Linked DNA regions of Arabidopsis thaliana. The main gene of each other region encodes a partner of the protein of the gene in region 2 in a complex. Each region holds a gene or a part of one and is shown on either strand. Other genes may lie near its edges. The genes, in order: PSBW and PSB28.

Region 1 (4,083 bases), on a different chromosome or scaffold from region 2:
AAATTGCATAAAATAATATGACTAATTCGTGAAACGAGCAGGTCTTCCCGCCTCTTCGACCTTATTGACCTCATCAACCATCTACTTGAAAATTTACTCTATTATAAATATCCGTCCTCTCACCTCTCACTTTTAAACAAAACTTAAGTTTTCTTAAAGAGTCACTAAGAACTTCTAAGATTTCAAAGAATGGAAGGAAAAGGTGGTAGCGGTGGAGGAGGGAAAGGTGGTGGTGGAGGAGGAGGAATAAGCGGCGGTGGAGCAGGAGGGAAAAGTGGTTGTGGTGGAGGGAAAAGTGGTGGTGGTGGTGGAGGAGGGAAAAATGGTGGTGGTTGTGGAGGAGGAGGAGGAGGGAAAGGAGGGAAGAGTGGTGGCGGTAGTGGAGGAGGTGGCTACATGGTAGCGCCGGGGAGCAACGGATCTTCTACCATTTCAAGAGATAAGTTTGAGAGTGATACTAAAGGTTACTTTGATAATCTCCATGGTAAAAAGTGAGTTTGGTCTTTATTGATCATCTATGGAGAATGGAGTGAAGATGGTTTACTACCAAATATATTATGTAATGAATGAATAAATGATAATTTGCTTTATTGTCTTACCCCATGTTAACTATATGTGTATTCATCAAGAGACTCTAAAACTTGTGTAATAATCAGTGATTGAAATGTAAATGTAAGATTAATTTATCAATTTGGTTCTCACTGACCATTATGGATGGGCTTTTGAATACATCCATTTCAATTGTTTGGTTTTGATGAACATGTCATGCATGATATTTAATAATCACATAATCTCCTCCTTATCAATGTTATGACAAGATAAAGAGAATGGGGGAAAGTAAACACACATGAAAATAGTTTTTAGTCTTTACTTAACAATTACAAGAAACTAGAAGGGTGAACACTTTTGATTCATGTTCTCACATGAAAATGGAAATGAGAAGACGAAAGATTGATTCTTCCTTCAGAGTGAAAGACCAGATTCTTCATCCTCCTCGAGAGATGAAGTGTAGACGAAGAAGAAAGTCCAGATCAAACCAAAGACTCCAAACAGAATCCAACCCAAGAGGTTGTTGCTTAGACCAAAGGGTAATCCTGTTCCTTCTGTTGACATCCTCTCATCAACCAAAGCCATCGCGGGATTGCTCATCACCGCCGTCAAAGCAGCTGTTGCTGCAGCTGAAACTCCAGCCCCCATGACTGAGACGTTTCCTTGCTTTGTCTCCATTGAACATCTCACTCCTCCCTTCTTCTTACCCATTGGAGGCAAACCTGAGCAAACAATAGTTAAACTGGTTACAATCAACATTTGTTTATTGTTGATTCTCCACTAAACTAAAGTTTGGTCTAAAATCACACTCTCATTTACACAATACTTCTATTATTAATGTTTGGTTCTGACTACAATCAAACCTTTAGATCAAAATTGTTTCTTGACTTCTTGTTGATTCACCACCAAACTAGACTTATCTCTATACATGTTTTCAAAACCACTCAACAAATATAAGCAAACAAAGATCTTCTTCACTTTGCACATAACCAGAATGAATTTCTACTAAAAGATGAGATCTGAGAAAGATCAAGGAAGGCTTTTTTACCAAGAACAGGAGCAGAGATGGCGACGGTAGGCTTGAGAAGGAGAGCCGGACGAGCGGCGGAGACGGTGGAAGCGGAGGCAGTAAAGCTAGCCATTTCTCTATTTGCTTCCCCTAACGACTGAGAGACTCTTCAATTGATTTTTTGTTTGTTCTGTTTGTGTTCTACAGCAACAAGAACACTTTTAATTTCTTTGCTTGTGTTGGCTTTTGGATCAAACATAAATATGTGGTGGATAAAAAATCTGTTCGAACCAACACAAGCCATCTAACTTGGATATGCTTCTATCCATACTCCACCAATCGACGCCCTCCACGTGTCATATTTCATCTCTTTCCCTCCAACACAATCTTTTTCTCTCTTCTCTACTGATACATCATAATAAACTGCATCCAGATTGCAATATATAACAACCCAAAGAACGAACAACACCTATGTTGCTGTGAACTATATCTGATATTCTGCTCTGAGAATTTTGTGTGTTGTGTCAAAAAGAACAAAGATTTACACAAGAAATCGTTTAAAGAATGAAGCTAATTATAACATTTTGGAAAGAAGAAAAGAATCGAATTGAATCTAAGTTTTGTGGTAACTTGTTTCAAAAAATCAATCGTGAATGTTGCACCGTTGTAAGTGAGGGTGATGGTAAGGTACATGTATGTTCCAGTAGCGCTTGTACTTGTCTATACCGATGTCCAGCCATGGTTTCATGATCCCGTCGTAGTGTATAACCGCTGCTTGTTCGATGTCGCTTGCCCTGAGTCCTGATTCGTGACCTAACCCACCCACGTTCCATCTCTTTTCCAACGGAAACGTTTGCCCGAAAAAAGTCAACCAACCTACTGGCAATCCCCCTGCTTTCCACAGATGTCCTTTTACTCCCTGCAACCAAAACAACAATTTCACAACATACACATATGTAAGATGTTCTATTGACGGACATAAGCCACATTAACCATTTTGAATTCAAAACTCATCAAGGTAACAGTGTGAATTTTTGATGCAGAGAACTAAAAGGTGATAAAATGTTGTACCAGGTCGAAGTATTTCAGGTATACAGAAGTCAACTCCTGTCTTCTCCATTCTTCGAGATCAAATAGATTCATCCCGAATGCCCAAGTGCAAGCCTTGGGATCAAATTTCTGAGAAACCCATGCATCTGAGAAATTAATGAATGAGTCCATCGAACGATATGAAGGATCACCTTCAAGACAAGTCTCTACAGCTCCAACAACTTTCCCCGTCATATCAAGGCTCCACAGTCTAGTTAGATCCCTTTGCACTACTACATCATGATCGAAGAGTACGATCTTGTTTAGACCTGGGAAGATATCTGGGAGATAGAAGCGTGCATGGTTGAGCGCTGAAATGATTCTTGGGTCACTTGAATTTTGCTTCATCAGCAATTCAGCATGGTACAATGGCAGGACATTCATTTCATCAATGTTTAGGATTTGGATTGAAGCTCTGCCACTTGGGTTTAGTAAAAACCACATTGAGATTGCTGGGTAATTGAGTGAATCTGTCACCACATGGAATACTATTTTATCCGGTTCCTGCAAGCAGTAATATCATTTGTTAAAAGACATGTGGCTTCAGCAGAGATTCGGAAAAGAGCATTAAAAACACAAGTTTGGATCGGGAATCTTGCATTAACAAGTTTAAGATGCTTGCAACATGATTTAAAATGATACCTGAGTTTTGAATTAACAAGTGTAAGATGCTTGCAATATGGGGCATAAGTTTTGAATCATGAAAACATAAAACAATGCAAGGTTTCTCAACTGTAATTTAAAAAAAGATAAAGTTATTCACTGAACAAAGAGCACACAAAATGTAACTTCCTTTTCCTAGTTTCATAACTAGACAATATCCTATATATGGTACTAACCACAGTAGAAGCCTAAAGCATTTGTCCAGATATCAAATTCAGGAGTATAAAGGAACTGAACCACAACATGTTGAAAGAAAGAGAATAAAGGTGAAACATTTACCTTTGATGAGGAGATTGTAGAGTTAACAACAACCGAAGAGGCCAAAACATTGTCAGAGAAGACTACGTAATGGTAGAGATCAGGATCATTATAACTTTGTTGCAAAAGCTGCCTTTTTTCGTGATCCAGGGTAAAATATTCTGTTGTCAACCGCATTGAGAGACAATGAAGCCCTTTTGGGGTAGTCCTTGCTGCAAGCTGCATTAAATATGCTGCTTGTTTCTTCTGCGCCCGAGCTTGTTCTTCGGTTTTATAAGTCATGGCTTGGAGTTTGGTAGCAATGGCAGGGCAGTTGTGAAAGGCACGGCTGACCTTGTATAACGCAACTTCCATGGCCTTCAATCTGTTAGGAGAGCTGAAAAGAAACAAAACATTTATGTATGACTCTTCTAAATTAACACAATATTCATTAAGATTTAGCTTCATAAGTAAAGGCCAAAACTTTTTACAGGATGGAACAGGACTCCCTTTGAATCAATCAGCTGTGCTCACCT
Region 2 (3,825 bases):
GAGGAGATCGGTAGCACGTGACCAACATAAACTACATTCGTCGGATGAGAGATCGCTAACACACTGCGACAAAACGTACATTCTCTCCGGAGGATCTCCATGTTCATGAGTTCCAAACTTGACATGCCTCATATCACCTCTGATCGCGTCGAGGTTAATCTGATATGATCTCCGGTAAGCCTCCTCGTTGGAGACGGTGCCGTTGTTACAAATATATCCGAGGACGTCGATTCGAGAGATTTTCATGGACATTGACGGAGCTAGTAACGTTAACGGCAAGACAACGGCCAAAGAAGAGATTAACGTCGATGCCATGATGCAGAGGAACAATGCTTTGATGCCCCTTTTCATAATAAACTATTCTTAACGACTTTTGGCTATATATGGTCATCAACTTAAAACCGGATATGCTCAAAGTTCGGTTTAGTTTTGATTCTGTTCAATTTCAGTGGAGTGTGTTTTCTATTTTAAATCTCTTACACGGTTTTGGTTTAATTGGATTGAACACTCGTAATATAAACACAAACACAGTTAAGTATTTGACTAATAGCACAATTCATAATGAAATTATGATCATACCTTTAGTAAAATCATGGATTTGTTTAGATTAAACCAAATTTAATCAGAACAAAAGCCTAGATTACCATTGTAAGTTGAAACTCAAGTAAAGATCAAAACTAGGAGAGTACAAGATTATAAATCAAAAGAGTGAAAAAATTTAATGTAACATACACATTTTGTTTTGCTCATTGAAAATTCTCTCCAACCTCATTGCTTCTTAACAAACTGCAAGCCATTCTGGTCCGAGTATCGCTCCATAAACCTCATGAACCTGTCCCATTCTTTCGGCGATCGCATTATGTGCTTCGCCACAATCCCTTCCGGTTTCCCATTCACGAATCTCGCGTTCACATCCGTCGACTGAATCACACCTTCCTCATCAATCATGTACAATCCTGTAATCTCTCCGACTTCACCGCTCGAGTCGAAAACGGATGGTTGGTCGAAAGAGAACAGTGCCATTCCGTTGCTTCCGTCTCTTGATCGAGTCAGCTTAACATCAGGGATTGTCATCTCATCCGTCCCTTGGATGAATTGGAGCGCCGGCTTTACCATCATCGTGATAGAGACGGGTTTCATCGGTCTTAGAGCTGTTCGGGATGATGGTTGAGCCCGCGGGAGAGAAACAGGGGATCCAGTGAAAGATGAGCTTTTGATGGGAAGAACAGAGCATGAAGATAAGACAATGCCTGCAACAAAAGGGATCAAACTATGGTTCTTAATTACACACTTGAAGTTAATTGATAGCGAGACATGTAAAAATCCAATCTTTTTCCATAACCCTAATCCACAATTACTTAGAACACACATTTACTATGAAACCATGATCAGATTACATCAAGTTACTGCCTTAACAACTTGTTTATCAAATCAGAGAAATCATGAGCTCGCAAAGAAACACGATTTATACCGATTCGTTTCCGATAAATCTCGTTACAGTTTCGGATTCAGCATTATACCGAAAATTACGGGAAATTTTCCTTATTCAAGCTACATGCAACACGAAGATTTCAACTACCAATTCGACGAATCAAAAGTGCGAAATTAGGGTTTTTTCGCGTACCTGAGCGAGGAACATTTCGTTGAGAATGGTTGACAGAAGTTAAAGAACCAATCGACCGAACACAAGCCATATCTGTGATGTCTGAGTGCACGAGGAGTTAGAGACACAGAGAGTAAGAAGGAGATGAAGCAAAAAGCTGTGGTGTGGTGGCGGGAGAATCGTGACGTGTCACTACCAAAGCCGTTCCTTCATTTGGATACCGTCATCGTCTCAACTTATGGGCTTTTACCTTTAGGCCCGAGATGTTTATAATAAGCCCATTTTGGTCAAATTGTCATATAATAAACCCATTTTGGCTTTAGACAGAGTCAGAGAGTCTCTTGCTGTCTCAGAGGTTTTTAAGATGCATGAAACACACGTGGCACATGCGTGTAGATCGTAAGGAAAAGCTGGACTCTCAAGTCTGTGATGCCATAGCGAATCCCATGGCCTGATCCCTGATGGCCATGTGACGAATCGTCAGCATACATACTTACTTGTTAATATATTAATTAGTATGGTATTAATAATATAACCCAACAAAACACCATTTGCAAAGAGTTTAGGTACTTATTTGTGGGATTAGGTTTCTCTCTCTGATAATACAGAAATTAATACTAAATTAAGTCACTATAGGTGCTGATCCACATGCATCCCATTAAGCCTTCAAACCTCTTGTAAGTGTTTATTTCTTTATGATCTATAGTCTATAAAATCTCCTATAAACCATCCATTGTTCTTTTGGGTAATAATTGATTATTATAATATTTATGGTGTAGATCAAATTTATTTATTTTCCTAAGATATTGTATATATCAGTGATCAGTCGAAAGATTCAAAACTGAAAAGTGTATTCTATCAATTATATAAAAAAAAATTACTTACTGAGTAATCGTAGAATTTAAGGTATTTTATCCAACGATCGAAAGGATAATTAAGCAAATGAAGAACTTAACTACGGATCGGAATGTTTTCTAAAAACAACAAATAATAAGAAAGAAAAAACAATTGTATAAAAGACAGGTCCACATGAGTGCATGTGAAGCAACAGTTTGTGTTTAGTACTGTAATAAGAAGGATGGAAACATGAAATCAGTAAGAGGAGTGGGTAATTGTTGGAGTATTACAATAATTGTTTTGATGAATATTATGCGTGTGCATTTCTCTGCCATTTTCCCACAAATCATTTAGCATTTAGCTTATCTTATCCTTTATCAAATTGATCAGTTAGTTTACCTCGACCCGTTCTTGATACATACATATCTGTTTGAGTTTTTAAACATCTTGGTGTTGAATTTGTCACGGTTATTATTTATCAAGTTTGGATTCTTTTTAGTGATATCAAATTACTATGCTATGCTAATTGGGCAGTCTGAAAAAAAAATAAAAATTATATTCTCTCGTTTGACGTACGTTTTTTTTATTCCGTCTCCATTTTACTTTACCTTAAAGGCATTGGCACTGACTTTGGGTGTATACGTCTACACATGCTTTTAGTCTTTTAGACATCAGGTAGAAAGTTTACGAAATTAGAATTTTATATCTGAAGAACGTTTAAGAAAGTAGCATTTTAATTAGGGACAATTTGCTGATACATTCAAGAAGTGATACAATTAACCACTTTATTTAATTTTTATTTGTTATATTATCAACAATATTATACTATACCTATATTACACTGCCATAAATCTGTAACATGGGAAGATTCTTATCTAATCAATCATGCAAACGAAAGAACAGTAACAAGCCTGCACTCTCTGCAGTGGCATACATTATAGTATTCACACTTTTGTTACGCATCAAGGTAAGTATGATTGAACTAAAGAAATATGTTTTCACGTATAATGGCCATGAGTGGGCTCGATCTTAATTTTTTTTAACCAACCAAATAGAAAGAAGCTTTTCGAAATTCAAAAGGGGTAAGAAGAAACGTGAAGATCGATCGTGGGAATATCTTCATTATTGCTGATTTTAATTAATAATGAAATTTATTTGGACCTATCTGATATTTAAATATGCTGCAGAGCATAGGGTAATAGGATCATCTGTTCTTCTTCATCACATGTGCAGGTCACCCATTCTTATATGCTTCGAACGTTCACCTCGGTGGCTATATCCTAAATACGAGATTTACAATATAATCACTGATTCATCATTAATATGTAATGTAATCGAATATTGCTAAGAGCTAATGGTATATTTTTTGTTTTTCTTCCTTAGAA

The links.
Region 1: PSB28 (region 2) and PSBW share a complex: the UniProt entries of both Arabidopsis thaliana proteins name them as parts of the photosystem II complex.

The regions. Positions count from the first base shown.
Region 1 is NC_003071.7:13,018,363-13,022,445, forward strand, and holds PSBW (photosystem II reaction center W), read right to left. Parts: upstream 1,950-4,083; 5' UTR 1,692-1,949; coding exon 1,598-1,691; intron 1,272-1,597; coding exon 964-1,271; 3' UTR 666-963; downstream 1-665. Other genes in the region: AT2G30560 (glycine-rich protein), read left to right, coding at 203-495; LGT5 (los glycosyltransferase 5), read right to left, coding at 2,202-2,477, 2,630-3,151, 3,590-3,944, 4,082-4,083. UniProt on the Arabidopsis thaliana protein: Stabilizes dimeric photosystem II (PSII). In its absence no dimeric PSII accumulates and there is a reduction of monomeric PSII.
Region 2 is NC_003075.7:14,147,877-14,151,701, reverse strand, and holds PSB28 (photosystem II reaction center PSB28 protein), read right to left. Parts: upstream 1,823-3,825; 5' UTR 1,695-1,822; coding exon 1,580-1,694; intron 1,251-1,579; coding exon 769-1,250; 3' UTR 604-768; downstream 1-603. Other genes in the region: AT4G28670 (cysteine-rich RECEPTOR-like kinase, putative (DUF26)), read right to left, coding at 1-315.